Cricetulus griseus: one gene and its partners. The protein of the gene in region 4 purifies or fractionates together with the protein of the main gene of each other region. This does not show direct contact. Links are inferred from orthologs where the notes say so. Each region holds a gene or a part of one and is shown on either strand. Other genes may lie near its edges.

Region 1 (7,130 bases), on a different chromosome or scaffold from region 4:
AAATCAAGACTGGTTATCATACCACATAGATCACTTGAGACATGCCCCCCACAACCCTGTGAAGAAAATACCCCCCCCCATATGTAGCCTTAACAGTCCTTGTTTTGACCAAGTTATAGTAGGCTTATTTTATAATTATTATTTTTGAGACAGGACTTTCTCTGTGTAGCCCTGGCTGTCTAGGAACTCGTTCTGTATACCAGGCTAGCCTCAACTGGAGATCTCCCTGCATCTGCCTCCCAAGTGCTGGGATTAAAGGTGTGTGACATCACTGCCTGGCTTTATATATCAGGCTTATTTTAAGACAAACAGGAGCCAAGAAACTTTACCACTGAAAACATCTTCAGATTACCAGGTTACGTGGAATTCAACGAGGAATAAAACTTTAGCCTACTACACTGAACACTGTAAAGTACAGCAGGGTGAACACCTCAGAGATGTACATTAGAACGAGGCAAACTGCTCATCTACAAAAACCTCTTCTAGTCTTTTATTAACATTTGGAGATGTGTGGTACATATGATCAACAGCATCACACCAGTGGGGAAGTACAGATAACTGAAAATATACTCCAGAACAGGATTCCAGAGCAGTGTAGTGTTGTCTGCTCTTGACCTCCACAAGAATCCAGCTCTGATACAGGCAGGACAGACAATGTAACAACATCACTTGGAAAATAGATGACAGCTGATTGCTGGAACCCTTTTGTGTGAGATGTGGCAGCTCTCCGGGTGCTGTGGCACCACTGTAGGCCAATTTGGAAACTGGACGGTCAAACTGAAGAACTGACTGGAGTGAGAAGAGGTTTTCTGTTTAGTCTAGAGAGATAACAGATTGTCCAAGTGGATACTTTCAGTCCAGGCTCAGTTCAGGCCCTGCAGGAATCCACCAGATAAATACAGCCTATGGACTGGAAGGCTGAAAACTCAGCTGGCCATTTGTGTCACCGAGTATCGGGAGTTGCTGAAGACAGAGGTGTAACAGGCATGTACCTGGAGGAAGGAGGGCTCACCATGCCAGTCCAGCTCTGACCTTTCTGTGCCATCAACTCTGCTTCCTCAAGTAAATGAAGAAAACTGTCCCGCATTTCAATGCTCCATTGTGAAAGTAGTCAAAGCCCTCTCCCCCTCCCCCCTCAAATCATTATTCTTCATAAATTCTGTTTCCAAGTCCTGATTCTTCTGGGTCTACACCTTTTCCTTTCGCTTCAATTTTGACACTTTCTTGACAGTCCCGTTCTTGTTGAGGAGCTTCAGGACCCTATCTTTGTGATCCAAAACCTTAAGCATAGAGTCTCTGGCTTCGCTGATTTGGTCCATCACTAGTTTACACCTCTGCATGTTTCCCTGGAAGAGAAGGCACACTATTACCTGGCTGTCATGGGAATGAAACAGCTTTTAGAGGCCTGTTCACTCAGAGAACAGAGAACAAGGCTGACTATACTATCCCTTTGAGTTCTTGGCCAGGGAGGCCTGAGGCCCCACTAGAACTAATTTGTGGGACCTTATTGCTGCATGTTTTGGTAAAAGGACAAAGGGAAATCAAGATGGACATGGATTTTCTTCTTGCTGGCCAGCCCTTATTGTGTTGAGAGAATTGTTATCAATAGTCTTAAGTCTTACTTAAGTCTTACTTATCTTGTAGTCCCTGTGTGCATTACCAACTGGCCAGGCAAAATGAACTTATTGGTGCAATGGTGGCCAGTCTGCTATAAAGGTAAAGGACTCCTTCTGATTGGATTTGTGGTGGCTCCACAGAAGGAAATCCATTTCTGACTCCATAAATCTGAGTAGACGCCTGTGGCTGGGGAGGTCATAGGCTCACTGGTAAGGAGCACATATTTTTGTATACACCCACCCATGCTCCTTGAAAACAACTCTAATGAAACTCAAGGGGTTACTGGAAAAAAAAAGACATTAATGTAGAAAGAAGACTAATTAGAAAGAAGAAAGAATCAGTGAGAGGGAGACAAAAGAAAATAACACTTAAAAAAGGTGAAAAAAGGGGCTGGAGAGATAGCTCAGCAGCTACGGGTGTTTGCTGTTCTTTAAGAGGAACTGAATTGGGTTCCCAGTCATGTAGGTGTTCACAACTGTTTGTAATTTCAGTTCCAGGGGATCCAACACTGTCTTCTGGTCTCTGCATACACCTGCATGTGTGTGGCATAAAATATAGGTATATCAGGGGATCCAACACCCTCTTCTGGTCTCTGCATACACTTGCATGTGTGTGGCATAAAATATACGTATATAAAACCAGAAAATAAAGTAAATAAAATGGTTGAGCACCTCCTGGTAATGCATACTGAAGTAAGTAAGTTTGTACAAAAACACTCTTGCAGTGGGGAAAGGAATATGGGAGGGTTTGGAGAGAGGAAAGGAAAGACAGAAATGTTGCAATTAAAATTCAACCCAAGTAAATAGACAGATGAAGGAAAAAGAAGAGATGCTTTCGTGACCAAGTGGTACTCAGAAGGCTGAGGACTCATCAAACCTGTATCAGCTCATTTATTCGATGTAGATCATCATCTGTTGCTGCTTTTTTCTTTGGGATAATTCCTTCCTGTAGGTTGGTAAGTCTCTCATAAACATCATGTTCTAGGTTTGTCTGCAACACACAAGAGGGAGCACACTGTGACTCCAGGCATGGTGGGAGGCAGGCTTTGTAGAGAAGACCCCTGCCTGCTCTCCAAAGCAAGATGGCACAGGTCTGAGCCCTAAGAGGAGCTGGTAGGTCACTGAGCCTGTTACTTGGTGAGAAACAAACCGTGTGGTGGCCAATGGTGAAGGAACTGCTAAAGAAGAACCTTCTTGAGGAAGCAGAGTGCTTAGGAAAAGAGGCTCATGGGAAGACCACTTAGCTCCCCTCTTTTCATATGTCCTGACAGGACATAATATTCAACTTTAACTTCAGGTCATTTTTTTTTGTTTGTTTGTTTTTTTTGAGACAGGGTTTCTCTGTGTAGCTTTGGGGCCTATCCTGGCACTCGCTCTGGAGACCAGGCTGGCCTTGAACTCAGAGATCCGCCTGCCTCTGCCTCCCAAGTGCTGGGATTAAAGGCGTGCAGCACCAACGCCGGGATAACTTCAGGTCTTACACTACAGCACTTTCATATATTTTGGATCCAGGTAATTAGAACTAAAATTCAGGCCTGGATAGATGGCTCGGTGAGTTAAGACACTTGCTCCCAAGCATCATAATCTGAGTTTGATCCCCTAGGACTCATATAGTAGGAGAGAAACTACTCCCAAAGGCTGTCCTCTGACCCACCTCCATCAAATAAATAATTACCATCTAATAGATCTACTTGCTTTAATTGTGACATCACAGGCCTATGTGCCTTTATCACCCCACTTTAGGCAGCTCTGGGGATCAAACCCAGGGCCTGTGGTACATCAGGCTGGCTACCTACTGGGCTCCCTCTTTTGGCATGACACAAGTGACAGAACTGTACCTACCAGTTGCAGTAACTGGGCAGCACAGAGGTGGACTTTCCAGCCTTGGGCACGGCAGGACACTCCCTTCTGATTAGCTATTTCTTGTAGCATAGCTTTCTTCTCCTCTGGAACCACATACAAATAAAATTAAGTATTACTCCATTTGTTATAAAAGCAAACTCATTTGGGTTCAAAGAGTTTACGTGTCAATATTTTATCAGAATTTCTTTCCTCAAACATCTTTATAAGTAAGTCTTCTGCATTTACATCAGGGGGAAGAGGGGCCAACCATATGTGTAACATTTTTTCAGACAGGGTTTCAACATGTAGCCCGTCTGGCCAGAAACTTGCTGTGTAGACCAGGCTGACCTCACTCACACGCTTCTCCTTCCTGAGCACTGGAATTAAAGGAGGCACCATTATACCAGCTTCTTTTCTGTGTTTTCATCAGTTCCACGAGAGAGCTTTTAAGTCATATTCTGCTAACCGGAGCTAGCAGGACAGCTAGCTCCTATGGTAATCTTGCAGAGGAGAAATGGTCTTCTGGGAAAGAGACCCTTGTTCTATGTGTGGGGCTTATGTGCAGCCAGAGAGCTGGACTAGAAATTCTGGAAGCTTTTTGGAGAGTTACCTATAATTTAAGAGAATTACCAAGTGGGGATTCTTTTTTTTTTTTTTTTTTTTTTTTGGAGACAGGGTTTCTCTGTGTAGCCCTGGCTGTCCTGGAACTCACTCTCTAGACCAGGCTGTTCTGGAACTCACAGAGAACCCTCTACCTCTGCCTCCTGAGTACAAGGATTAAAGGCGTGTGCCACCACCATCAGCTTTTTTTGGGTGGTGGTGGTGGTTGTATTTCTAATGTGAGAAGAGAGATTTAGATACACAGTAACCGGGCAGCACAGAGGTAGAGTTTCTTGTCTTGGGCACAAAGGGACAGTCCTTTCTGAGTATCTATTTCCTGTAGTATGCTATTCTTATCTGAAACCATATGTAAATAAACATAACTATAAATAAAATGAATATGATGTTATCACCAAGACTGGGAGGCACAGATTAGGTTTGAGGGCTGTCTGTAAAAAGGTGAGTTTAGTCTTATTTGCTCTGTAATAGGCCTTCTAGCTGGACTGTACAGTTTCATAGGGGAAGCTGCTGGAGGGTTATCAATCAGGTTGTGCTAGAGCTTCGGACTTTGTTTTGAGGTGAACCTACTTTGTTCTACAAACTGTATTCATTAAAAATTTATTTAATTGGAAAATATTAAAACACCAGTATCCCCCTGCAGGCCTTGAAATGCTATGTAGCTAAGGTTGACCTTGAACTCTTGATTCTCTTACCTCTGCTTCCTGAGTCCTAGGATTGCAGATACATGCTACTGTTTGCTTTTATGTAGTACTGGGAACTGATCCTAGGGATTCTTGCAGGTTAGGCAAGTACTCTACCGACTGAGCTCTATCTCTAACCCAGGCTGGTCTATAACTTACTAGAAGCCCAGGCTGGCTTTCAATTCATAATCTTTCTCAGTTTCCCAAGCACTGGGATTAAGCATGTACTACCATATCTTGTCCTTTCACCTGCAGTGGTGCACACACATACAACACCAATACTAGGAAGGCAGAGGCAGAAAGATCACAAGCTCAAGGCGAGTCTGGAATATATAGCAAGGGAGTGTTTCAAACCAAGTTCTGTTATTACCCAGGGCCTTGCACATACTATACAATTTACTATTAATCTGCATCAACAACTTTGTGTCTTCTCTTTTTTCTTTTCAGCTTTGTTAAGAGCTTTTTCAGAGAATGATTTTGTGTGTTTGGGTGTATTTACTTTTTTTGTTTTTTTTTTTGGTTTTTTGAGACAGGGTTTCTCTGTGGCTTTGGAGGCTGTCCTGGAACTAGCTCTTGCAGACCAGGCTGGTCTCAAACTCACAGAGATCCGCCTGCCTCTGCCTCCCGAGTGCTGGGACTAAAGGCATGTACCACCAACACCCTGCTGTTTTTACTTTCTTTCTTACCACATTTGTCCCTGGTGTCCAGGGAGGCCAGAAGGCAGCACTGGAATTCCTGGAACTGGAGTCAACTAATTATCTAATTGTAAGCTACCGTGTACCTGCTGAGAACTGAACTGAGGTCTTTTACAAAAGCAACCAGTGATCTTAACCACTGAGTCATCTCCTTAGTCTCTCCCCTAGGTCATTTTAAGTGTTTCATGTATGTGTTGAATGGAAGATCTTTTGGAAACAAATACCTATAGTGTACATAATCATTTTAGCATCCTAGAAATTATAATGCACTCTGTCTACGTTAAACTGCAATACAATTACGGGCTCCCTGTGAGTACTTGGGGGAACCAAGGAGGTTAATGAATCAGTACTCAGGGAACTGTTAACACACAGAACTTATTATAACTAAGGCTTCTCCTTGTTCATTTCACTGGGATTCCAATAAACACACAGCTTTCTGGGAACAAAGAATACTTCTCCACTGTTATACTCAACTGTATATTGCATATTTTGGTTGGAAATCAGAGAACTGTGATCCTAATACTTTTTATTGTGACTACAATAGAGCTTACATGTTATGCCATTTCATGATTAATACTAGACATTTCTAAGGAAACTAACCTTTGACCCGGACATCACTGTACCTCTGGAAGTGGTGGTAAGCAGCTTTCCAGGGGTTCCGATAGTGACGAAGCAAAGTGATGGGAGGTCTTGGTCGCACTGGGACATATCTCACCCCTTCTTCATCTATTCCAATGAGAAAACAGGAGGGCATTAAGTGGCATGTTAGGTATCTTAAATAATCCTCAACATTCAATTGCAGTGAGTGAGACACAAATGAAACTGATGCTCTGAGATGGACCTGATTAGGTGGTAAGAGCCAGGTGACGATCAGCCAGGTGGCCTTACCAATGTACTCTTTGGGCGGAGACTTTCGTTTCTCAGCCTTCACCAGAAGACTTTTGGCAGTGGACTTCTCATCATCAGTGCTGTTTGTCTCCATCATATCCCCTTCTTCTGTTGAGATCACATGCTGCTGCTTTCGAGGCTTTTTCCTTGGGGAGGCACCAGGTGGTAGGTCACTTGTAGGCATGGACAGGTTGCTTGCCAGCAAAGCCAGAGATGGAGACACAGTGTTGGTAGCCAGAGGAGGGACTGCTGTTGGGGGTGAAGCACACACACCAGTGAGAACCAAATATTGGAAAGCTTCCCTCAATTTCCAGGATAACAATTATGAAGACAGCTGGCTGGCTAACAAGTACAGAGGTTTCTTATGGGCCTGGCAGTATATAAAATCCTCTTAGGCAGGAGTTGTGAGCTGCTTCCTACTATCTACCAGGCACTGAGAAACTTAGCGCTATTCTGAACTAGTGTGGACCATATAGCAAGGGCTTCCCAATTGCACAGGTTCACCTGAATTTTCTTTTTCTTTCTTTTCTTTTCTTTTTTTTTTTTTTTCTGGTTTTCGAGATAGGGTTTCTCTGTGGCTTTGGAGGCTGTCCTGGAACTAGCTCTTGTAGACCAGGCTGGTCTCGATTTCACAGAGATCCACCTGCCTCTGCCTCCCTGAATTTTCATTTTTATTCTACCTTACATGAACAGGTTTCCTATATTTAGCTACTGTTACTCACTTCTAACAGTCATATCCTATATATCACTGTTACTAATAACTGCAAACTGCCTCACATCTATCTTAA
Region 2 (8,195 bases), on a different chromosome or scaffold from region 4:
TCACTTTGAAACATCGGATGACCTGGGATTTACAACTTACAGCAATCTTCCTGCCTCTGCCTCCCTAGTGTGAGGACTACATCTGGCTTCAATGAGTATACTTGAAAAGTGAGCTCTCCTTGGACAAATAAAGCAACGGTGAACTTGCTTCTATGTTACGACTCAGAATGTTTACTGAGCTAATAGAAATGCAAAGTCCAAGAGAAGGCATTTGGTGAGGGGTGAGCATTGCAAGTTCAACAGCCAGTCTGGACAGTATAGTGAGACCTATTCCAAAACAAAGTTCACACACACCACACAGACACAGACACATGTTGAGACATGGTAAAGCATTTGCCTACCAAGCATGTTACACAAATGGTCCCAAGTTCAATCCCCTCTTCTGAGAAAAAAACTGAAACACAACCTCAAACATAAATTCAAAGCAGGCTATCATACACCAACTCAATTATTCTCTCTCTGTGGCAAGGAAATTGAGCTCAAGGGTTAGGCATGTTACAAAAGCACACTACCACTGAGTGGTAGTCCTTCAACCACTATGGCATACAAAACCCTAAACTAAGTTCTGTCATTTTACTCTGTCTCAAAAGTCTAACAACCAAGAAGAGAGAACTGGAATTCTGATTAGAGAACCACACAGAACCTGTCACAAAGCGTACAAAAGCCAGAAGATACACACCTTTTAAGGACAATTGGAACAGCAATGGAGGGGTTCTTCCTCAGACCGTCTATGATATCAGCTGCTTTATCAGCATATATCCTCTGGAGTGCTTTCCGATGGATGACTTCTGACGTGCCGCCAAGGGTATTATCCAGGCGAAATTTAGCTTGCTCTTCAGCAGACAAGCGGGAAAGTTTTTTCTGTATTGCTTCCAGAACCCGGATTGTTGCAAGATTGGTCTCTAAAACTACATCAAGCTTAAAACAAAACAAAACAAAAAAGAAGGTACTCAGGCCAGAAACCAGAATACAGTAGTTATGAGAATAAGGAGCGTGTCAAATTCCTCAGGATTGGAGTCCTGTATAGTTCCTATACAAGCCATGTAAGGCTCTCCATCAGTAACATATGAACAATGGCATATACTACTTTCATGAGGTTGTTTTCTGGAAGAAATGCCATATGCATAAGTCATAAAGCACACGAACTTCTCGGCAGCCACCACTGTCACACACTGCTTGGCACTGCCAAACACAGGCCAGGGGGACTAAGAAGGCTAGTATACTGATGCATTTCCTTATACTTTTGTTTGTACTTAGACACAGTTTTAATTATGGATGACCTAGAACATAACATGCTCTGTAGACCAGACTGGTCTTCGACTGTGGTAAGTTCTTGCCTCTGGCACCTAACGCTGGGATTACAAATGTGAGCCGCAATATCTGGCCTATCAACTTTTCTCACTTGAGCAAACACATTACAAATAGTAAGAAAACAATCCAAAGACAGCTGTGGGACTAAAGGGTATAGGAGTCTTAACTTAAATGTCTAAAACATTTAAATATTAAATTACTGCTTCACACCCAATGGCAACAAATTCAGGATTATTATCCTTTCCTTTTGAAAAAGAGTATCAAGTAGCCAGACTGGCGTCCAACGGGTCTATGCACCCAAGAAGGACCAAGAATTCTAAACTCCTTCAGCCTTCCCCTCGCCAGGGATTATAGGTACACTACATTACCCAACTCGAAAAATGTTCTTCACCTTGATTAGAAGCTGGGTATGGCGGCACTCACATTAATCCCAGCACTCAGGAGGCGGAGGCAGAGGCAGAGGCAGATGGATCTCTGAGATCAAGGCAGCCTGGTCTACATAGAGTTCCAGGATAGCCAAGGCTACACAGAGCCCTGTTGCAAAAACAGGAAAAACAAAAAAAACAAAACAAACAAACAAACAACTACCCATAGAAATTAACACTTAATACAATTTAGTTTTCTGCAATAACTAATCAGGCCATTAATTCTAGAGGAGTGGTGGTTTGAATGAGGATGGCCCCAATAGGCTCATATATTTAAATTCTTAATCCCTAGCTCAGAAAACTGTCTGGGAAGGGAAAGAAGGTGTGGTTTCACTGGAGGAGGTCTATCACTAGGGGGTGGGCCTGTAGATTTCAAAAGACTAGTATGATTCTCAAGGCATTCTTCTCTGCCTCCTGGTTAAGGATCAAGATGTGAGCTCTCAGATAGTTCTTCTCTGTACCACATGAACTCCCATCTCAAACTTTAAACCAAGTCAATTCTTTTATAAGTTGTCTTGATAATGAGATTTATCACAATTATAGAACGGTAACAGAGATGGGGAAAAGATGGCAACCACCAGTCAGTGAGGAGACAGCATGTGATTCTTCTGAAGAGGAATGTTGTATGAGATCTCTCCCACTGATTTGAAGAAGCAGACCCAGTCAACACAGTGTAATGAACATACTAAGTCAAACACATATATGCAAAATACAATTGACTCCCTTTGGTGTGGTATTAGTAAACATCATCTGAATACTGGAGATGTTTGAGTCTAGTTTCAGAAATTCCCTTCCTGCAATAAGGGATATCTCTACCAGCTGATTCATTCATTCTAGATCTTCCCATCCCAGCCATCCCCTTTAAAATGTAACTCTTACAGGCACTAGGGCACTTTTTTTTTTAAGCTGCCTCACACAGAGTATTTAAATACCCCTTCATTTCACATCTTCCTTGTTCCCCAAACTTCAAATCACAAAGGAGGATACCTCAAATCGTTCATCTTCACAACGATAAATATGTTCTTCATACTGAGTCTTCTTGGAACTAACAAAAGTGGAATCTTCAGACCATGATGGGAAGGAAACCCAGGTATCATTTAAAACCTTTGGGTAGAAAAAGAGGCAGAAAAGCTTGTTAAAACTTACTGGTAATTAAACATTCTCAATAAAAAGACAATACTATAGAGAGGAAAAAATATTTGGTGTCCTGGTTAGTTTTTTTGTAGCTTGACACAAGCTAGAGTTAGTTGAAAGGAGGGAACCTCAATTGAGAAATTGCCTCCATAAGGTCAGACTATAAGATCGGAAAAATTTTTAAATTTTTCAATTTTTTTTAAAGATTTATTTATTTAATTACATGCCCTATCTGCACATACTCCTTTATGCCAGAAGAGGGCATCAGATCCCACTAGAGATAGTTGTGAGCCATCACATGGTTGCTGGGAATTGAACTAAGGACCTGTGGAAGAATAGCTAGGCCTCTTAACTGGGAATGGAGTGATGGGGAGGGGATTCCAAGTCATTGTGTATGGTTCCATGCTGGGTCCTGGGTTCCATAAGAAAGCAGGCTGAGCAAGCCAGTAAGCAGCACCCCTCTATGGCCTCTGCACCAGCTCCTGCCTCTAGGTTCCTGGCCTGCTTGAGTTCCTCTCCTGACTTCTTTCAGTGACGAACAATGATACAGAAGCATAAAATAGATGGTTTCCCAAGTTGCTTTGGTCATGCATGGTATTATATCAAGAACAATAGAAACCCAAACTAAAACAGTTCACAAAAGAATAGAGTAAGGGAAAGTTCTGAATACAAATTTTCTTTTGAAAAAAGGTTCATGATTTCACAATTCATATAAATCCTGGCCTTTCTTGTAAGACAGGGTTCACAGCAGATAAATAAGGGCACTTGCTATCAAACCTGACCACCTGAATTTGATCCTGGGAACCCAGATGGTAGGAGGAGAGAAGCAACTGACAAGTTGTCTCTGATCTCCACAAGCAGACCACATTTCATATACATATACACATATTAAAAATAAATGAAAACTTTAAAAAATTCTGGCCCTAGTACTATCTGTCAATACCCTGCTTTGAAGAAGCTGAAGATCCAAGGCTGACCCTTACCTCTTTACACAGAGGAGTCCGTCCTGTACACTTGGGCTGCTGGTAACTTTTTGGCAGGGCTCGGTAGCTAGAGCCCAGTCGTTTACAAGAGGCGTAGTCTATCTCCATTGCAATGCCTTCTGTAGCTCGTTCCTTTGGAAAGCTTTCTAGATGTACAGACTCCTTATATCCCAGAAAGTTTTTAAACCAGTTAAACAATTCAGGGAATTTCCTGAAGAACAAAACCAAAAGCTGGTAAGCAATTCAAGGCAGGATGCAGTTATTATGAGGAACAACATTACAGTTCATGGTGGGTCACAACTCTACTGCCAGAGTTAATAATTATTTTCTACCTGAGAAGCATCCTTTAACCAGTTAAGTTCCATTTTCCTTATGTAGTATTTTCCAACAAGACAGTAAGAAGCTAAGAAGCCATTGTTTAGAATATTGCCTCACTTTTCATATAATCCCCGGGATGGCAAATATAATCAAAATTCTAGAGCCCTGGAAGATCAGTGCCTATAAACATGTAGTGCTGGTCAGACAATCAAGAGACCATGAGTGCCGCATCACAGCTGATACACTGTTAACACTTTTTTTTTTTTTTTGAGGTGGGAGGTGTGGGGGGTGGTCCTCTCTGTAAGCCAGGTCATTCTGAATTCACCTGCCTCTGCCTCTATGGTGCTGGAATTAAAGGCATGTGCCACCAAGCCGAGCTCTACCTGTTTTCCCAACCTGAAAGTTATACTAGAAGACTTATAAGGCACCTTCTGACACTGTCATTTCTGACAACTACTCAATTACCTTTGTTTTACAATCTCTGCATTATCGTATCAGAAGTACTAGAAGCTGTGCTCCTCACTTCACTTACCCCAGAAAAGGAGAGACTAATTGTACAAGCTCAGCCCGAGAGATCACCTCCTGGTTAAATATAACAAGACAGCGCAGAAAGTTATCATACGCCTCTGCACTCCGAAGAGCCTTTCGGACCTTATGGAAACAATCAGAAGAAAAACGGTTACAAGGAGAGTCAGGGTCATCAATTTCTTTTTTTAATAGAGTAAATTTAATCTGATATTTACTAAGGAATTGCTGTTATTTTATTTAGACATGATCAAAGAAACCACCTTAAAAAGCAAAAAATGAGACAATGTAATCTGTCTCTAAACAATCTAAAATGAGTATGAATACATATGGAACAAACACATAGAACAGGCAACGGAACTACTGACACTTGATAAGAGCACAAAGGGTCGTTTTATTATCTCTTTAGTTTTACATGTGTTCAGAATTTTTTATAATTAAAATGTGAGACCATGCACTACACCTTCTCATATGCTTGCTACTTCAGACCAAGTCAATTACCTAAGCTTCTGTAGTCCATCTTAAGAGATACTGAAAGAAATTTTTCAATACTGTTTTAATAGTCTTGTTAATAAAACTTTTTGTATGTTGTTTTGTTTTAGGCATGATGTCATGTAGCAGAGACAAACCCTAAACGTGCTATATATAACCAAGGACAGCCTTTAAAATCTGGATCTTCTTCCTCCTAAATGCTTAGAATGTCAGCATTCTTAAGACAGAGGCAGCAGGCACCACACCAAGTTCAAGACCAATCTGCTCCTGAGACCAGCCTGAGATTCAACAAGGTCTTGCCTCAAAACACAAAAACAGGCTGATGGGTGTGGGGGGAGGGCAGAAAGATGGCTTAGTGGTTAAAAGTGCATCCCATTCTTGTAGAGGACCCAGGACTAGGTGGCAACAAACATGAGGTAATTCATAACCACACCTATATACTCATGGCATATGGGTGTTCATAAAGGCACACATATACACATCTAATAATTAAATCTTAAAAATGACAACAAAAACAGCCTGAGGATATGGCTCAAATGGCAAAGGGATTCTTTCTCAAGCAGAGGACCAGAGTTTGGACTCCCAGCACCGACATAAAATACTAGGCACAGGAATATAAAACTGTAATCCCAGCTCTCGAGAAGCAGAGACAGGAAGACCCCTGAAGCTTACAGACAAGTCAGTGTACCAATTTGTGAGCTCTAGGTTCAATGAGTCCTTCTCTCAAAAAAACAAGGCAGAGAAGCAACTGAAGATAATACCCAACACTAACCTCTGACCTCCACACATATATATGCTCAAGTGTTCTCTCTCTCTCTCTCTCTCTCTCTCTCTCTCTCTCTCTCTTCTCTCTCTCTCTCTCTCTCTCGTGCTCGCACACACACACACACAAACACACACGGGGGGGGGGGGGTTTGACAACACGGGACATTGAGAGATAGCTCAATGAATAAAACACTTGTCATGCAAGTCTAAGGAAAACGTTGGGACAAGTCAGACGTAGTGTAACATTTGTAATTCCAGCACACCTACTGGGATTGAGTTGGGAGGCAGAGATAGCAAATTCCCTCTACAAGCTCCAGGGCCAGATACCTTAAACTGTCAGTGGTGCTCAACAAAAGACCCTGCCTCAGGTAAGGTAAAATATTAGGACAGATATCTGTTTTGATGTGCACGTTCTAACATTCTCTCTCACACAACCTCCCACACACACACTTACAGCACTGAAAACTAATTTTTTGGGTTTTTTTGTTTTTTTTTCCAAATAGGATTTCACTATGTAGCTTCGGAGTCTGTCCTGGAACTCGCTTTGTAGACCAGGCTGGCCTCGAACTCACAGAGATCCACCTCCAAATGATGAGGAACTGAAAGCCAGCCTGGAATACAAGGTGAGTTCAAGGCTAACCTAAGTTACACATAGAAAGATTCTGTCTTCAAACAAAACAAACCCGAAGATTAAATAAAAACAATGCTAAAAACTCCTAATCAGTTGCCACTTCCTAAACAAAACCTTGGGGATTAGATGACTTTTATTGGTTTTTCGAGACAGGGTTTCTCTGTGTAGCTTTGGAGCCTATCCTGGCACTCGCTCTGGCCTCAAACTCACAGAGATCCGCCTGCCTCTGCCTCCCAAGTGCTGGGATTAAAGGCATGTGCCACCAACGCCCCGGGCTAGATAACTACTCTTAACAACTAATATCAAATGTTACTCATTGCTTACCTTATCAAAAAATAATGACTCAGTTCCAACACCATGCTTGCTGGCATCTGCCATTGAAGATTCCTTTAGACTAAGCAGTTTGGGTTTTTTCTGGAAATAAAAATAAGAAATAAAACAAAAACATACAATGCTGAGTGAATTTTCTTTAATTTTGCTAAAATGGTTCTACTACTACTAACTAATCAGAACAAATGAGATTGCAGTCACAAATTTCTATCATAACCTTTAACTCTGGGGTTTAAAAAATAAATCTTTAACCTATACTATTTCAACTTAAAAATCCATAGGGAAAAAAATTAGTTCATTGTCTAGTAGACAGCATAACCATCTTATCAGCATATCCACTCAAACTAATACTGCTAATGTTTTTTTTTTTTTTTTTTTTTTGAGAGTGTCACTGTGTAGCCCTAGATGTCCTCAAACTCAAAGATCTGCTTTGCTGCCCTGCCCATCACATCACAGTGTTGCTAGGACAGGTGTCACTGTAACCCCTAGCCATATTAATAATTTAACTTGAAAGCCACATGGCAGTGGCACATGCCTTTAAATCCCAATACTTGGAGGCAGAGGCAGGTAAATCTCTGTGAGTTCAAAGCCAGCCTGGTCTACAAAGTGAGTTTCAGGACAGCCAAGGCTACATAGAGAAACTATGTCTCAAAGAAAAAAAAAAAAAAAAAAAAAACAAAAAAAAAGTTTTAAAAGTGGGAGGGAGAGCCTGGCACAGTCTATATCCCTTCACTCATTAGTCTGAGGCAGGAGGGTTGCCATGAGCTGACAATTAGCCTGGACTACTTCTGAGTACCAGGTACAATGAAGGCCAAACAGAAATGAAAAGGCCATAATATAACCCCACTAGGAAAATTTTACTTTTAAAAACCCACCTCTTACTACCTGTGAAGAAATAACCAACTCTGCCAGCAGCTTCTGTCTCTATGGGACGTGGAAACTAAGCACTAGCATACTGTTTCTACCTGTGGATTATCAGGTGTAGAAGGAAACAGACCCAAGAGAGAGTTCTTAGCTATTGAGCTAATTCTTGCAATCCACAGAATACTTTTTGAAGTTAAAAAACCAAACAATAAAACCACTACTATATTCAACCCGATTCCAAAACTGAGAAAACACTGCAAGTACCAAAACAACCTTTCAGAGAGTGTCAGTCCTTGGAGCCACTTGACACCCACCACCTTCCACTGTCTTTTTTGCTTTAACCAAATTCTATAGACACCTCTACTCCATATTACATGGTTTAGAATTCCCAGAGAAATTCAACAATGAATACATTCT
Region 3 (8,688 bases), on a different chromosome or scaffold from region 4:
GCATAACCCCTCTCAAGGTACAAAACAAACACACAAAAATGTAATTTCAAAAAGGATCGTGGCTGGTGGAATAAGGAAACATCCTTAGCATACCTCCTCTACAGACAGCACAGTGTATAAGCATGAAGTCTACAGCCAACCTTGGTTGTCACTATAAAGCTTCTGCATTTTCAGGATCAGAAACACAATGCCAACTGAGGCTCAAAAGTTAAAATGAAGGATGGCTGTGCAGCCCCAGGTGGGCAGAGCACAGACACACTGAGCAATGTGACCTCTTCTTCTCAACACTCACACAGAGGTGTTACAGGCAACCACACACACTAACAAGTCTGTCTGAGCTGTGAGTCCCGGGCTGGGGTGATACTTTTGCCTCGACATGGAAAACGCCCCCAACTTCCCAGTGATAAACAGCAACAACAAAGGCTTAAGAGAACACCCTTCAAACAAGACCTTTTCATTCCTCAAGAAGACTGGCAAATGCAAGACACCTCTTTTCAGAACAGTGACAGGCCTGAGGGCCCCATCCCAACCCCTCTATCATGACAAACCCTAATGAGCTCATATTCATCACGACTAAGAGTGTTCAGCTTTCATCACAATGGCTGCCTAGCTTAGTAAGCATGAAGGAGACAAGATCAAGCAAAGCATCTCTGAAACTGCTGCTGAGGAGGCTGGAGAGGTGGCTCAGGGGTTAAGAGCACTGGCTGCCCTTCCAGAGGACAGGGTTCAGTTCCTGCCCCTATGTGGCAGAAGACAGCAGTCTGTAACTCCAGTTCCACGGGATCCAATGCCCTCTTCTGGCCTCCTAGGGCACTGCAAATGTGGTACACAACATGCAGGTAAAACACCCATACACAAAAAAGAAAAATAAATGGATCTTTATTAAAAAAAACAAAAACAAACAAACAAAAAAAAACTGTTTCTGAAACATGATAAGGACAAGAGGTAGATGGGGAGATGCCCAGAAGGCATGTGTCTGAGAAGTCTGTGGAACCCAAGCCCCACTACACAGAGGGAGTAGCCAATTCTTGCCACTGAGCCCTCTCAGAAATGGAATGCTTGCAGAATGATAAAGGAAGGGGAGCGGGGACGACACCAGATCCATTGTGATCACATCCTAGAAGAGTCTGTGACAACCCATTTCAAACAAGCCACCAGATGCCACCAGTAAAAAGCTGGCAAAGTAGAAAGGCCAGGCAGAGTTCCGGGACACAACTGAGAATACACATGTATGAATTATTCATGTAACCTTGTTTCAGCACTGACCACACCTGGCAGAGTTGCTCCTTTGGGTTCAAAAGCTAGAAAATGTCAGATTCCAGAGGTGGCCAAGCACATTGTTTAAAGGAGACTCTGGGGGTCAGAAACGTGGACCACCTGCCCTATAGGAGCGGAAGGGTCCCAAGACAGACCCAACAGGGTCTCAAGATAGATCCAACAGGGCCTCAAAATAGAGCCAATCACCACTTTCTAAAAACTGGGCTAATGCCTCACAACCTGTAATCCAGCACTCAGGAGTATGAAGCAGAAGGGTTGTGATGAGTTCAGGGCACCCCTGGGTGACAAAATGATTTCCAGATAACTTTGAACCATGGAGTGATACCCTCTGGCTAACTCATCTTTCCTGGACACAGATAAAGTTTGGGGCAGAACAGTGGCAGGCACCTGTAGCCCCAGCTCTGTGGGTGGCTGATGCAGAAGGACAACTGGAGCCCAAAAGTTTGAGACCAGTGTGGCAACATGGCAAGAGCCAGGTTTGTTTCTTGTTGGCGGTTGCTAGTATTTTTCTTTTTCTTTCTTTCTTTCTTTCTTTCTTTCTTTCTTTCTTTCTTTTTTCTTTTCTTTTTTTTTTTTTTTTTTTTTTTTTTTGGTTTTTTCAAAACAGGGTTTCGCCGGGCATTGGTGGCGCACGCCTTTAATCCCACACTTGGGAGGCAGAGGCAGACGGATCTCTGTGAGTTCGAGACCAGCCTGGTCTACAAGAGCTAGTTCCAGGACAGACTCCAAAGCCACAGAGAAACCCTGTCTCGAAAAACCAAAAAAAAAAAAAAAAAAAAAAAAAAAAATCAAAACAGGGTTTCTCTGTATTGTTTTGGAGTCTGTCCTGGAACTAGCTCTATAGACCAGGCTGGCCTGGAACTCACAGAGATCCTCCTGCCTCTGCCACTAACACCAGGCTCATGTTTTTCTTTATTTTAACAAAACAAAAAACAGAAAAGAAAGAAAGAAAGAAAGAAAGGAAGGAAGGAAGGAAGGAAGGAAGGAAGGAAGGAAGGAAGGAAGAAAAAAAGAAAAAGAGCAAAGCCAGGTGTGGCGGTGCACACCTTTAATCCCAGCACCCTGTGAGCTGGAGGCTAGCCTGGTCTCAAAATCATTTCCCCCACTCCACCCAAAAAAAGCACACAGGGCTTTAGTTTCTCTGGGCGCATGTGACCATGGCTGAAGACAAAGGAGGGGCTTAAGTGAGGATGTGTGAGAGCAAACAGAACGGATGGCAGGAAGAGTTCAAAGAATGCTCCAACCCCAGCTTTCCTGAATTCTCAGGACACCTAGAGTATTGCCAACAATATGCAGCCTAGGGGCCTGCAAGATACCCATTTCTCTGGGCACCAGCTTTCAAATCAGATCTATGATGGCCTCATCACACCCCCTCCCCCATTATTTCAATCATGGCTCTTGCTAGCATACCGGCAGAAGAGCCCATAACAGGTGAAGACTCTTAGATGTGACCAGGGGGGGAGATTATGAGGAAATGTGAGCTTTGCAAACACTAAGGTCACAATCAGGGTCTCTATGAAGACTGAATCGACTCTGTATTCCAGAGGGAAAAGGCATAAAGCCGGACTCACTGCTCCTTCATCTCCACGTAGTCTTCCTCATCGTGCTTCGCCAGGTCTGTCTCACTGGCGTCCTCAGTGTCTGCGTGAAATGAGGGAAGAAATGACGGCTGAGATCAAAAGTCACAGAACTGGTATCGTGACAGCATAATTAATGGGCATCTGGGAGAATAATAAATTTCTACCCACTTCGGGTCTGCATGAACCTACTAGCAAAAATAAGTGCAGTAAATGTGGTTAAAACAAAGAAGAAAATGCCAATGCCTTTTGCATCTTGGATTTATGCTGAGTATCTGCTTTTGTTTGACATACAATCAGGAAGAGGTCACAGCAGACAGGCAGACCTGATGGAGGCCACACAGCAATGGTGTGCAGAGAGGACCTGGGTGCGTACATGCCCATCCCACCACACATTAGATATAAACGGTAAAAAGGAGGCCGTCCCCACAGCAAATTCAGTTCTAAAAACTGATATGTTTTCAAAGTTAACAGATTAAAAAAAGGGAGGTGGGGAGGAAAGAAGATCATTTTTAAAAAATTGTCCAAGCCAGGTGATGGTGGCACTTGCCTTTAATCTCAGCACTCTGGAGGCAGGGACATGTGGGTCTCTGTTAGTTCGAGGCCAGCCTGGTCTACATAGCTAGTTCCAAGACAGTTAGGGCTGTCACACTGAGAAACCCTATCTCAAAAAACCAAACAAACAAGCAAACAAACAAATGAATAAATAAAATTGAAAAATTGATCCAAAACTTGCATGGCCAAAAATAGGGGCTGGAGGCGTGGCTTAGTACAGTTAAGAAAGCTGTTCTTTGCAGAGGATAGGGATTGGTTCCCCAACATCCACATCAAATGGTTTATACTGTCCAGTAACTCCAGTTCCAGGAAATCTGGCACCCTCTTCTGGTTTCAAAGGGCAACTGTACATACGTGGTGCATATAAACTCAGACACATAGACATACACATAAACAAAAATTAATTAACTAAAAAAACATTTTCAATTATATTTATTTCGTTTTATGTATATGAATGCTTCATCTGCATGTGGGTGCACCACTTAACTTGCCTGGTACCCACAGAGGTCAGCAGGCACTAGAGCCCTTGGAGCTGGAGTTGCATATAGACAGTGCGCGAGATCAAAACCCGGATCCTCTGAAAAAAATCAGCAAGCGCCCTAAACGGATGAACCATTTCTATAGGCCCCCATATATAACAACAACAACAACAATAATAATAATAATAACAACAATAATAATAATTTAAACAGGTCTTGAGCAAATAGGTGAATCCAATAGCCCCTACATCCAAGGGGATCAAATTTTGTCTTCACATCGCCCCCTCGTGGTCATTAAAAGCAATGCAGCGTTTCACATTTCGAAATCCCTGGTTTAAAAGCCTTGCCTTCAGTTAAACCAAAAGCAATCAGTTCCTTCAACTTTCTGCTCCGCGAACGCCGCTTTTTTTTTTTGGGGGGGGGGGTCGGGAGACACTTTCACAGAGGTCCTGTCTAGAGCCAGTCAGCTATGTCCCTTAGAACTAGAGAGACTAAGAGGAGCAAGACGATACTCCTAGCAGACAGTTGAAGTAGCTTTTGCTTTTTACAGCCCGACTTTGTGCCAGAATCCTACACTCCACTCAAAGGCCTCCCCGGTTCCCCTCCGTCTCCACCTCTCTACCTAGCTTCTCCCCCACTTAGCTGGCTCCTTCCTCAGTAAACAAAGTCCAGACTGAGAAGTGAAGACCCGAGGAGCGATAACGCAGATGCAAAACACTCGGGGACTGAAGACGAATCCCGACCTCCCCCCACTCCCATGCTTCCACTTCACAGAGGCAGAGCGGATTTCATTTAACCTACCCAGGAAGTGAGGACTCCATACTACCCTGCAAGTAGGTGGGTAAACAAGCCGCTGGGCAGCTTAAGGCCACAAAAGCCGGGGTGGGTGCCAGCCACACGAATACTTACACCCGGCTGGTTCCAGGTCCCCAAGTGGAGCTAGGGGGTTAAGCATTTCGAGGAGAGACGCTGGGCATCACTGAGACCCAAGTGCACTCCGAAGTATGACTTTCTCCCCCGCCACCCAGAAAGGAGCTCAGACACCGAACGGGAACACAATCTTAAAGGGACCCCTGGTTCTCAAGAGCTCTGGCGACTTCTGCCCCCTGCCCCCTAGGCCCCCGGGCTCCGATCCCAGCCCGGGCCGCACCTTCGTCGGACTCGCGGCCCCGGCAGCTGCGCTCGTCGTCCTCGGCGCTCTCCAGCTCCTCGCTCGTCGCTCGGGCCGCCTATGTGTCCCGCGGAGATCGCGGCCGCCTGGCTGCGCCCCGGACGGCCCCCACCTCGCGGAGCCACAGCCGCGGACACCCGGTGCCCCTTGGTGCCGAGCTCCGCCCCCGGCGCCCGCGCTGGGCAACGGGGGCCTCGCGCGGACGGCCACTTCCGGGTCGGAGGCTGCCCGGAGACAGCCTGATCCCGCCATCCTCGAGGCGAGGGGTGAGACGCCGGGCTCCACGTTCTCTCACAAAGCAGCGCCTCCTTCATCGTCGTCTTTAGAATGCTCGATCGGCCGGCCACGGGGGAGGGGCGAAGGGAGGTGTCGCTGAAGTCAGGCATATCCGTGGGCAGCCCTGCCTGCGGTCAGGACCCCGAGGTTGGGAGGACACTTCCGGAGACGGCCGCCAGGCGGCGCCCGGAGTCAAAACTAAAGTGTGTGTGGAGATGGAAGCGACCTGATGGGCGGAGGCTTTGCAAAGCCCTGAATGGGTGGCAAGGTCTGTTATTCAAGCAGATGAACGAAATCAACAGTTCCTTTGGTGGGTGTGGAAGCCTAGATAGCCAGAGTGTGTGTGATACAGAAAATGAGGAGTCTGCTTCCACCCTTGCCTTAATGGGGCTTAAGAATTAAAGGCAAGTTGCTGCCATTCCGTCCCCGAGTCCAGTGAACCTATGTGTCCAGTGTACCCAGGCCTCCCTCGTGCTTCCTTTTGAATAGATTTACCGGGTAAGCTGTTTTCCTGATTTGACAAATGATCAAAGAGCTATCATTCTCCATAAAAAAAAAAAAAATAAGAAAAAACGGTGGCATCAGTTTAGAATTACATAGCCAGGCTGCCCATGGGACTGCTGCCTCCTGTTTCCTCGAATATAATTTCTAAGGTACTTTTGCCTAACCCAGTAACTAGTTAACCTGCTCATTTTCAAGTGAGCAAATAAAGCATTTCCCTACAGGAAATACGTTGGCTAAAATTCAAAAGCCAACGCTGGGCATAGAGGCGCACTGTTGTAGTACCAGCACAGGGCAGGCAGATCTCTGAGTTCGAGGCCAGCCTGGTCTACAAAAGGAGTTCCAGGACAGCCTGGGCCATACAGAGAAATCCTGAATTGAGAACAAACACAAAAAGGCAAGAAGACAGAGTTTCTGCATTTGTTAATTTGCCTGGCTGTGTACCTCACCCCACCCCACCGCCCCAAAAGGGAAACGCAGTATTACAGTTTTGCTTTAAATTAAAAAAAAAAAAAAAGCCTGTCAGTGGTGGTGCAGGCCTTTAATTCCCAGGACTCAGGAGGCAGAGGCAGGTGGATCTCTATGTGGCCAGCCTTGTCTACAAAGCAAGTTCCAGGACAGGCTCCAAAGCGACACAGAGAAACATTGTCTAGAAAAACCTAAATAAATAAATAAAAGTGGGCTCTGCTTAGTGGGTCAAGACTATAATCCCAGCTACTCTTGAAAATAAAAGCAGGAGGGACAGCAAGATCAAGGTCAGCCAGCTTAGTGAGACCATATCTGAAAACAAAATAAAAACAAGGGCCATGGATGCTGCTGGGTAGAACACTTGCCTGGTATGCTGGAAACCCTAGCTTCAATTCCTAATGCGGGGAGGTGGGGATGATGTGGCCACAGTAACACCATTCAGTTGACTCAAATCTGCACTGAAAAACGGAAGAAGTAACAAATCCAGGCAGACGAGAATGCAGTGAAAGGCAGGGTGGAACCCAATACACAGTCTTTCTGATTCTCACAGCCTTTGTGATCAAATTTATTAAATTGGCCCCAGAGAGACTTCTAAAATGGAGAACACTTGTTTTGGGTCCCATTCATTCTGACATCTCCCATTTACTACCTTGTTTTAATTAAGTCTTGGTTCTCTTTGTAAGAGATATTTCCTCTGTGTAAAATGCAAGAATTTCCAGAATGCAATGCTGGATGCGTTTCCCAGAAGTCCCAGGATCTGAAACCCCTTCCCAGTAAGAAGAGTCTTTCTTCAAGCTCATCCTCAGTAGAGGTTTGCAGAGGGGTCTCTCCTGCAGAGGATGAGGTCAGTGTGTGTGTGTGTGTGTGTGTGTGTGTGTGTGTGTGTGTGTGTGTGTGTGTGTGTGTGTGTGTGTGTGTGTGTGTATCCACCCGCTGTTGGAGTTGGATCACCTCTACTATCTTAACTCCACGTTGAGGGACTGGAGCTCCCATTAGTAATGCTATTCACAAAGCAAAGGGGGGAAAATGAAGGGCAACATTTTTGAAATCAGAATTCATTGATACAATGAATCAAAAAGTAGTTGGTTTTGTTACTAAATGGTTACAAGAAGCTGGGCCCTTCTCTTGTAATCTTGCTTGCTTTTATTTCTGTCTCCCTGATTGCTTGTCCTTCGTTAATAGTCATGGGTTTCTGTTGTATGTGTATAACAAAGACACAAACCTGGGTGATGACAGTTACCCCTTTTCTTCCATGGAGACAGCAGAGCTGGCCCAATGAGCAATTTATGTATTAAATGCTCTTCTGGAACAGGGAAACTACATTTTAAAAACCCTTTGTGACTTTAGGCTTGGCCAACTTTTATTCTTTTATTTATCTATTTATTTATTTGTTCCATAAGCCAACTTTGCCTATAAAGCCTAAGTTTTCTTCAAAATCAAGTTTCACCCCTTAAAGTCCACCACTGCTTCTCTCCCTAATATGGTACTCAGTCAGTCTGCTTAGTAAATACCTACCTCAGAGTTTGACCTGAAACTCAAACCCTGGAGCCCTGTGTTCACAACTTCAGGCCTTCTCAGGAAGCCTCTGTGTTCCCACCATCCAGATTTTAAGGGTGCCCAGTGGTTGGGATGAAGTTTGATTTGCAAACAAAGTTTAGTATGCAAATTTGGGAAAAGAGCAGTTTTATGACATGCTTTTTTAAAAAGGGGGAGGGGTAAGTGTGGTGGCCACCACACATCAGGGACAGGCAGATAGATCTCTGAGTCCAAGGCCAAACTATCTACGCAGAGTTCTAGGGCTACACAGTGAGACCCAATCTTAGATAAACAAATAAATAAGAAAAAAAAAGTTTGTAGAGCATTTACTTAGCGATAAGGCGTGTCTACGTCTGCCAAGGCCTAGGGTGAAAATGTGCCCCTGCAGAAAGCTATTTTGAGCTTCTACCGTTAACTGAAGCAACACAGCCATTTCCACAAAAATATGAGACTGGTCCTGGTGCACTTTAATCCCTGGCAAACACTATGCTTCAGCGTGGCTCAGGACGGATCCAGGTTATTGCAGGGTGCACTTGGGGTCAGAACTCAGTGTCCTTCCACCTTTGGTTCCTGAAAGCCTGTGGCCCTGAAAGAGGTTCAACTGAATATGCTTGCTGGAACCTTGCCAAAGTTAACGGGGTTCCCTACCCCAGATCCTTGTACAACAATAATAATCAAAACTCACGAAATGATTATTTCTTTTTTCACTTTTTTTTTCTTCTGTGACAGGGTCTAGCTATCTACCCCAGGTTGAACTCAAACTTGAGGCGATCTTCCTGCCTCTGCCTGCAGAGTTATTAGTTATTGGTGTTCACATCACATCGCGCCACGAATGGAAAGACTTGAC
Region 4 (8,195 bases):
GTTGAACTCAGTCAGTGCTCTCAGGATTGGATGTCAAGTGTTTTTTACTTGCTGAGCCATCTTGCTAGTCACTGAGACAGATTTCCCAGGCTGGACTTGAACTCCTGGGTTCAAGTGTATTTGAAACTAGGTCCAACCAATGCCCTGTTCATTCCTACAAAATTTTATTATCTCTAAGATATGTTAGATTTGGGAAGCCAACATTCTACCATTCAGGTATCCTTTGTCCCTAAGTGGATTTCTTAAAGTATAATGCAGTTTTTGATACTGCCGTGACAGGCCAAATGTGCTGTAAAAGCTATTAAATACCAAAGGAAAAGTAATAGTTGATTTGCAGCTTTCCCAAGTATGTATTTGAGCCTCAAAACCATATATGGTATGTGACTAGTAAAAGACATTGAGATGTTCCCAGCATGCATCCTATAACTGTCCCCATTTTCTCTTCTTTTATGGCCACCATCAGGTGATCCTGTGTGGAGTTGAGCCAGTAGTTTTACTGTGACCCATATAACACTTGCCTAAGGGTTACTTTAGATACTTCCAGGCCTTCTATTTGTCATAACATGAAAACACATTTAATCAAATGATGACCTGTGTAATTTATCTTTTTTTTTTTTTCCTCTAGAGGAGTGGTCCATTTTAGAGATAACATGTCTCTTTGAAACCCAGAATGGCCTGGAGCTCCTCCCTTAGCCTCCTAAGGCCTGAATTACCATATCTTGCTAATTTAATTCTTGATTTGGGACCTTTGTTACTTCTCTATAAATGCTTGTAATAATGAATTGTATTTTAAACATTTTAAGCCTTATTTTCAGGTTCCATAGTTTTAAATGTTACTGAAGGCTGGAACCATAGCTCATTGATTGAGCATTTGCCTAGTATGTGCAAGGCTGTAATTTTTAATCTCCAATACTGCAGACAGATAAGCAAACAAGCAATAACAGATTGTTACTCTTTTTATGGATTTAATTTTAGAACACAGAAAGAGATGACTGAATTAATTTCTAATGTTACTTTTTTCTAGCTTATTATTTTTACAGAAGAAATTATTCTTTTTTGGTATAAATAGCTTAATGTAATCAACAGTATTTCGTACCTTGTAAAAGTCATCACAGCTCTATTGACCCTTTAATGTCTGTAAATGTATGAAAGAAGCTTTTTAGAACACAGAAAAGTTGGCAGGATGTTTTTTAGCATTTTATCAGCAGCACTCCCTACCCTGGGTTGTTTTGCATTCTCTAAATTGTAGTAGGATGCTTTCTATCAGTGTTGCTTAACTACAACATGCTTTCTTGGCAGGTCTAGAATGGAAACAAAACAAAACACCTACTTGCTGCTTAGGAGCAAAACAAAAGTGTAGAAAAGATTGTAATTTCCCATGTACGTGTTTGGTTTCAGTAGAGCAGAGGGTAAACCTGGAGGATTTATGAGGGTTTGGTTCTGTCAGTAGCTATATTGACCTTAGGACAGTCAATTTGACTCTCTTTGATGTCTTGATTGCATACTCCTATCAGGTTGATTTAAGAGATCTCCAAGAGCCTTTGAAATTGTAAGATGTTGGGACTCAATATTTGAGCTTTCTATTTGAATATAGCATAGTTCCTTCTGAGACATGTAGCTTACATATTTATGCTCATTTCTTTTCATTTTAGATATGATGAATGGATTAAAGCAGATAAAATAGTCAGACCTGCTGACAAAAATGTACCAAAGATAAAACATCGGAAGAAAATAAAGGTAAGCCTTGATTTTACCATGCACCATTAGCTGTTAAGTGCATTTTCCTTCAAAAAAAAAAAAAAAAAAAAAAAAAAAAAAAAAGGCCAATTAAATGCATGTGCTACTCCTGATGTTATCTTCTCTTGAAACGCACTTTTACCAGATGTTAGATTTTGCTCTAATTTTGTCACCTGGTGAAAAGGTTTTAGGAACAGTGCTAACTGATATTGGAGGCCTTTTCATTCTCAACATTGTATAAAACTGTATGACAAAATTTATCCATTTAAACCTTTCCTGTCTCTTGTAGTTCCCAACTAGGAGCCATCATGCATTGCAGGTAGGGGATGTGAGTTGTAAGTAGATGTAAGGTGAGGAGAGGAGATGTCTAAAGATAGAGGAGAGTATCTCTTCATCTATATCTGACTGGCTACTGGGTCAGAATGTTTTCAGCACCCTCTTCACCACACACTGCATAGCTACTATAGTATCTATGTTCTCATATGTGAAACTGTACTACTAACATGATAGGATTATTACTAATTATGAGATAAATATTTTAAATATTTTATTAAAAAACCCGGCCATTAACATCTTTTTCTTTTTGTTTTTTGGTTTTTCGAGACAGGGTTTCTCTGTATTGTTTTGGAGTCTGTCTTGGAACTTGCTCTGTAGACCAGGCTGGCCTTGAACTCACAGAGATCTGCCTGCCTCTGCCTCTGGAGTGCTGAGATTAAAGGCGTGCGCCACCAACGCCCCGCAAAATTTTAATCTTTTTAAGAAGGTTTTTTATACTTTGTGTGTAGTTCACATGCTTAGTAGTGGTTCTGAAGTCTTCTTAGTCCAATGAAACATTGTTATGTTCCTGTTTAGAGACCCCTTGTGGTCTCAGATGCTGAATTTATTTATCTTGTTGGCAATCCTTTTATCACTGTAAACTTGAGTCTAAGTTTCTAGTACAGTACTCCAGTACCTAAAGCTCAGGATTTCTTAAACCCTTTACATTTTTTGTTGGTCCTTATTGGAAAGTATGTAAATTATGCTATATTTAGCATTGTTTTTAGTAACTGGAAGAACATTTGCTAAATGTTTGTTAAAAATTCATGTCTTTGTACAAAGCAAGCTTTGGAATAGCATTGCTGAGTAGATGAGTCAGAGAAACAATGTTTGGGTCATGCACATGAAATGTTCTATGAATGTCTGTCTCTGTCCACTGCTTGGTACTAAACTAAACATGTTAAAATTCTTGGTCATAAGGAAAGAGGCTTGAGAACTATAAGTTTTTTAAAGTTTTATTATGCATTACTCTTTGGTATTGCCCCTCCCTCCCTCCCTCCTTCCCTCCTTCCCTCCTTCTCTCCTTCCCTCCTTCCCTCCTTCCTTCTCCCTCCCTCCCTTCCTCCCTCCCTCCCTCCTCCCTCCCTCCCAGTTTTCTTTAAGAGCCCTTGTTGGAGAAACTCATTTGACAGCCACTAAAAAATATATTTGAACTTAGACTGAAGTGAATTGTTTCAGCCTTTGGTGCACATGGTACATTGTGATTTCTGAGATCAAGTCATGAAATGCTGAAATGATGGGAGTAACAGTAGACATAGGCTGTGGTAGTCTACCTGCCCTTTTAAAGATGTTCTATAAGTTAGGCCCAGTCCCTTGATCCTTATTATTGAAACATGTACCAGATAACATGGAGAACACATTAAAACAGGCTGTCTGGTTCCATTGTCAGCATTTTGATTCATCTTGTTTTTAGGGGTCTGCTTTTCTAGCAAGTTCTCAGAAATTGCTGGCTAAGGACCCCACTTGGAGAACAGCCGCTACCCAAATTTTAACTGTTACATGTAAGGGAGTATTTTTCCCATGTACTATCTTTTAGAGACTTGTGAAAATAATCACTCATGTTTTCAGTCTGTCTATGTAATAGGACTTAAGAATTTTTGTTGCTAAGTCATACTGTGAAGAGCCTAAATTGCAAAACAACAAAAAACATTGCTTATAGGAATTACCTTAGCCTTGACTCATTTGTTTGTTAACTGAGCGTGAGAAAAGTATCAGCCTTTGAGTGAGGTAGGAAGGCTGCCTCTGAGCTCACTTCACAGCCTGTCAATGCATGTAATTTCTCCTGTAAATTTCAAAGTACAGAACTTGGCTATTGTACTTTACAGTGAGAATGTTCAATTTTAATATGAGTGTTGAAATTGAGTGTTTAATTTTATAAATATTAAATTTGGATCTATTATTTAATTTTCAAGAATTTGTAGCAGTTATTAGCAATACTCAGTTCCTACTCTTAGTCATCTTTTCTGTTTGATCCCTACTGCTAGACTGTAAATACAGAACAATTTTTTCATCTCAGTGTTTTCATGAATAACCTAAAATAAACCTGATTATTTTGAAGTTTTTCTTTTTGCATTTTCTGGTATTCTTTCTCAGTTAAACATTTAATAATATTAATAATAATAATAGGCATTTGATGTTTCTTTAAAATAGAATGAATATTGTTACTAATAAGTTGTTCATAATACATTATAGCTAATATCTAATGCTTTACTTACCTAGAATAAATTAGACAAAGAAAAAGACAAAGATGAAAAATACTCTCCAAAGAACTGTAAACTTCGACGTTTGTCAAAACCACCGTTTCAGTCAAATCCATCTCCTGAGATGGTTTCAAAACTAGACCTTGCTGATGCCAAAAACTCCGATACAGCTCATATTAAATCTATAGAAATTACTTCCATTCTTAATGGACTACAAGGTAAATATAACTGTTGCATGCAAGTATTTGATTTTAATTTCTATAAATATTTAAATGAATTTAAATGTGGTTGTGCATGACTGTAATTCCAGTACTCAGAGCTGAGGCAGGGGGATTGAGAGTTGAGGCTAACCTGAGTAATAAATCAAGAGAGTGTCTCAAAAAAATCCACGTATTCCTACCTCCTGCCACCCAGAAAAAATTCCAAAAGTTAAATTCTATAAAAGTAGTTCAGGTTGGTTTTTTGACCAGAATTTGCTGTGTGTGTTATTAGTTGGGCACCTCCAGTGTTGGGTTTCTCTACTTCTTGTCAAACACTGTCCTTTGTGATGCTGTCTAAAACATAGTTGTGCTGTGTATTAAGACTGTAAAGCAATTCTGAAAGTTATTTGTGAAGAACTCATCTGCTTGTTTGTTCTTTTTATGATGCTGTTATGGTAGCACACATGGTAATAGTGAAGCAAATAGTAACAGAGAACTGGGCTGGAGAGATGACTTTGTAGTTAAAAGCACTTGTTGCTCTGGCATAGTCCTGAGTTCAATCTCCAGCCCCCACATGACACCTCATTAACCATCTAGCTCCAGAGTGGAGGGGATCTGACACCCTCTTCTGAACTCCACGGGCATCAGGCAAACGTTTGGTGTGTGTACACACACATACATCCAGGCTAAACATTCATCCATATAAAATACTAAATAAACTATATCTAAAAAGCTTTGAGAATTGGAGATTATTAAATCTGGCATGAAAATGTATTGGAACAGGGATCTGATCTACAAAGTAAATTAATTCCTTTCCCTAAAAATATTTTAAACTGCTCATAACTTAAGTTTTGGTTTTTATTACTTTTGACTATAATAGAAATTAGATTTTCTCCTTTATTTCAGAAGACTGTATATGGATTCATTATATAAGCCTGCTACTATATACTATTCTAAAGTTTGCCTTAAAAGTTTTCTAATGTATCTGACATGTAGACTACTATATGAAAAAATATAGTTTAAAGAACAAGAATTAGACAACTTTAGTCACGAGCAGGTAGCAGTTAATTAGGTGTGCCTCCTCAGGAGTTATTACTACCTTAACTTTATGTAACATTTTTTTAAAAAGTAGGATTTAATTATTTATGAGTATACTCCTAAATAAGATATTGTTTATTTTAAAAACAATAGTGAACATTTAATGTAAGCCTCAATTTATGAGAAAGCTTAGGTTGAGGTTGCCTTTAATGCTGTTGGGGCCAAATGTAGTGCACACCTTTAATTCCAGTACTCAGGAGGCAGAGGCAGGCAGTCTCTTGAGAGTTTCTGGCCAGCCTGGTCTACAGAGTGAGTTCTTGGCCAGCTGAAGCTACACAGAGACTTGTCTGATCAGATTCTCTAGGTTATATTCTGATTTCAGAGTGTGCTTTATTAGAGAAAGATTTGTTGTAATACCTTCTTTGGAGAGGTAGGTGGTTCATTCTAGAATGATTAGCTGGCTAGAAGGCAGAGGAAGTGGGTCTTCACTGCACATAGTGAGTTCCAGGATAGCCAGGAGTACATAGAGAGACCCTATCTTGCCCCTACCTGCATTCCGTCCTCCTACCCCCACCCCAATATTGGGAATGGGAGGGCAATCTTGAGGAAGAATTATCTTGAGGAAAAATGTTGTTTTTGACTTGGCTGGATAGAAAGAATCAAGAGCTGTTCTCTAATATAGGTTTTGGATTTTTTGTTGTTGTTGTTGTTAAATTGAGGATTTCCTTGTCCTGAATACTCAGTAAAAATATTTTTTAAGGATTTATTTTATGTGTGTGTGTGTGTTTTGCCTGCATGTATGTATTTGTACCAAGTACCTGGTACTTACAGAGGTCAAAACATTGGTTGGACCCCTTGGAATCGATGTTAGAGATGGTTTTGAGCCACCGTGTGCATGCTGGGGGACTTAGGTCCTTTACAAAAGCAACAAATACTTTTAATTGCTGAACCATCTCTGCAGCCCTCCATAGTCTCATTTTGATGACAATGTTTTCTAGTACTTTAAGAGCAAGTACAAGAAAATGGCAAATTTCCTAGTTGTATTCACTTGAAAAAGTTTCTGTTCTAGTTACAGGTTTTTTGTTTTGTTTTTGTTTTGTTTTTTTTTTTTTTAAGTCTGTTTTTCACTAGTTTACCAAATGCTACAGCCTGGATAGAACACAAAAAGAAAAGGATTTTTATTTCTTGCATTGAGGGCATTGAGCAGCCCTCTGTGGTGAGAGCATCACAACAGTGGTAAGTCATGCAATAGCTAATCCACTACTGTGAAAAGGACATCAGTCTGTTCATGACATAGGCACTTCTTAAAGTTCCCACTTTGCCAGTATTGTCATAGTGTCAGTTAAGTTTCAGCTTCAGTTTTGAAGAAGACATTTAAATCCTAGCATCTAGGATAGAAGTTTTTCTTTCCATTTTTGTTTGTTTGAGGCAGACATAAACAATAGTCTTACTAGGCTTATTACTCCCCACCCTCTTATTTTTTAGCTTCTGAAAGTTCTGCTGAAGAAAGTGAGCAGGAAGACGAGAGGGGTGCTCAGGACGTAGACAACAGTGGCAGAGACGAATCAAAGGTAGACCATTTGACCCACACCAGAAACGAGCTTATTTCAAAAGAGGAACAGAGTAGTCCATCTTTGCTAGAAGAAAACAAAGTCCACACAGATTTGGTAATAGCTAAAACAAAATCTCCAGAACGATTAAGAAAAGATGTGGAAGGATTATCAGAAGATACTGATTTTGAAGAAGATGATGAAATCACAAAAAAGAGAAAGGATGTTAAGAAAGACACAACAGATAAATCTTTAAAGCCACAAACAAAACGAGGAAAAAGAAGATATTGTAATACAGAAGAATGCTTGCAGACTGGATCCCCTGGAAAGAAGGAAGACAGAACCAAGAGCAAAGAGCTGCTTTGCACAGAAAACAGTAGTAATAGCTCCTCAGATGAAGATGAAGAAGAAAAGTCCAAAGCAAAGATGACACCAACCAAGAAATATAATGGCTTGGAGGAAAAGAGAAAATCCCTACGGACAACTAGTTTCTATTCAGGATTTTCAGAAGTAGCAGAAAAAAGGATAAAACTTCTAAATAACTCTGATGAAAGACTTCAGAATAGCAGGGCTAAAGATAGAAAAGACGTCTGGTCAAGTATTCAGGGACAGTGGCCTAAGAAGACACTAAAAGAGCTTTTCTCTGACTCTGACACTGAGGCTGCAGCTTCTCCACCCCATCCTGCCCCAGATGAGGGGGCAGTAGAGGAGTCACTGCAGACTGTGACGGAAGAGGAGAGTTGTTCACCCATTGTAGAGCTAGAGAAGCCACTGCCAGCCAGTGTGGACAATAAATCAGTTGAAGAAAAACCTCTAGAGGTTAGTGACAGAAAAACAGAATTTCCGAGCAGTGGCAGTAATTCTGTACTTAATACCCCGCCTACTACACCGGAGTCGCCTTCATCAGTCACTGTGACAGAAGCTAGTCAGCAGCAGTCTTCTGTCACAGTGTCAGAGCCCCTGGCTCCAAACCAGGAGGAGGTTCGAAGTATCAAGAGTGAAACTGACAGCACAATTGAGGTGGACAGTGTTGTGGGGGAGCTCCAGGACCTCCAGTCAGAGGGAAATAGCTCACCAGCAGGCTTCGATGCAAGTGTGAGCTCCAGCAGTAGCAATCAACCAGAACCAGAACACCCAGAAAAAGGTGAGGTTGA

What was found.
Region 1: the proteins of Arid4b (region 4) and Sap130 fractionate together in Homo sapiens (co-fractionation; 4 studies listed by BioGRID, with this or other methods). This does not show direct contact. The link is inferred for Cricetulus griseus from reciprocal best matches to the Homo sapiens genes ARID4B and SAP130.
Region 2: the proteins of Arid4b (region 4) and Sin3a purify together in Homo sapiens (affinity purification with mass spectrometry; 5 studies listed by BioGRID, with this or other methods). This does not show direct contact. The link is inferred for Cricetulus griseus from reciprocal best matches to the Homo sapiens genes ARID4B and SIN3A.
Region 3: the proteins of Arid4b (region 4) and Suds3 purify together in Homo sapiens (affinity purification with western blotting; 3 studies listed by BioGRID, with this or other methods). This does not show direct contact. The link is inferred for Cricetulus griseus from reciprocal best matches to the Homo sapiens genes ARID4B and SUDS3.

The regions. Positions count from the first base shown.
Region 1 is NC_048595.1:205,645,530-205,652,659, forward strand, and holds the end of Sap130 (histone deacetylase complex subunit SAP130), read right to left. Parts: intron 6,592-7,130; coding exon 6,343-6,591; intron 6,181-6,342; coding exon 6,055-6,180; intron 3,563-6,054; coding exon 3,459-3,562; intron 2,608-3,458; coding exon 2,494-2,607; intron 1,347-2,493; coding exon 1,188-1,346; 3' UTR 464-1,187; downstream 1-463. UniProt on the Homo sapiens protein: Acts as a transcriptional repressor. May function in the assembly and/or enzymatic activity of the mSin3A corepressor complex or in mediating interactions between the complex and other regulatory complexes.
Region 2 is NC_048597.1:168,625,449-168,633,643, reverse strand, and holds part of Sin3a (paired amphipathic helix protein Sin3a), read right to left. Parts: intron 6,999-8,195; coding exon 6,909-6,998; intron 4,823-6,908; coding exon 4,704-4,822; intron 4,065-4,703; coding exon 3,854-4,064; intron 2,841-3,853; coding exon 2,724-2,840; intron 919-2,723; coding exon 680-918; intron 1-679. UniProt on the Homo sapiens protein: Acts as a transcriptional repressor. Corepressor for REST. Interacts with MXI1 to repress MYC responsive genes and antagonize MYC oncogenic activities. Also interacts with MXD1-MAX heterodimers to repress transcription by tethering SIN3A to DNA.
Region 3 is NC_048597.1:97,074,092-97,082,779, forward strand, and holds the start of Suds3 (sin3 histone deacetylase corepressor complex component SDS3), read right to left. Parts: upstream 5,447-8,688; coding exon 5,198-5,446; intron 5,119-5,197; coding exon 5,040-5,118; intron 2,920-5,039; coding exon 2,850-2,919; intron 1-2,849.
Region 4 is NC_048596.1:237,300,402-237,308,596, forward strand, and holds part of Arid4b (AT-rich interactive domain-containing protein 4B), read left to right. Parts: intron 1-1,652; coding exon 1,653-1,737; intron 1,738-4,272; coding exon 4,273-4,471; intron 4,472-6,976; coding exon 6,977-8,185; intron 8,186-8,195. UniProt on the Homo sapiens protein: Acts as a transcriptional repressor. May function in the assembly and/or enzymatic activity of the Sin3A corepressor complex or in mediating interactions between the complex and other regulatory complexes.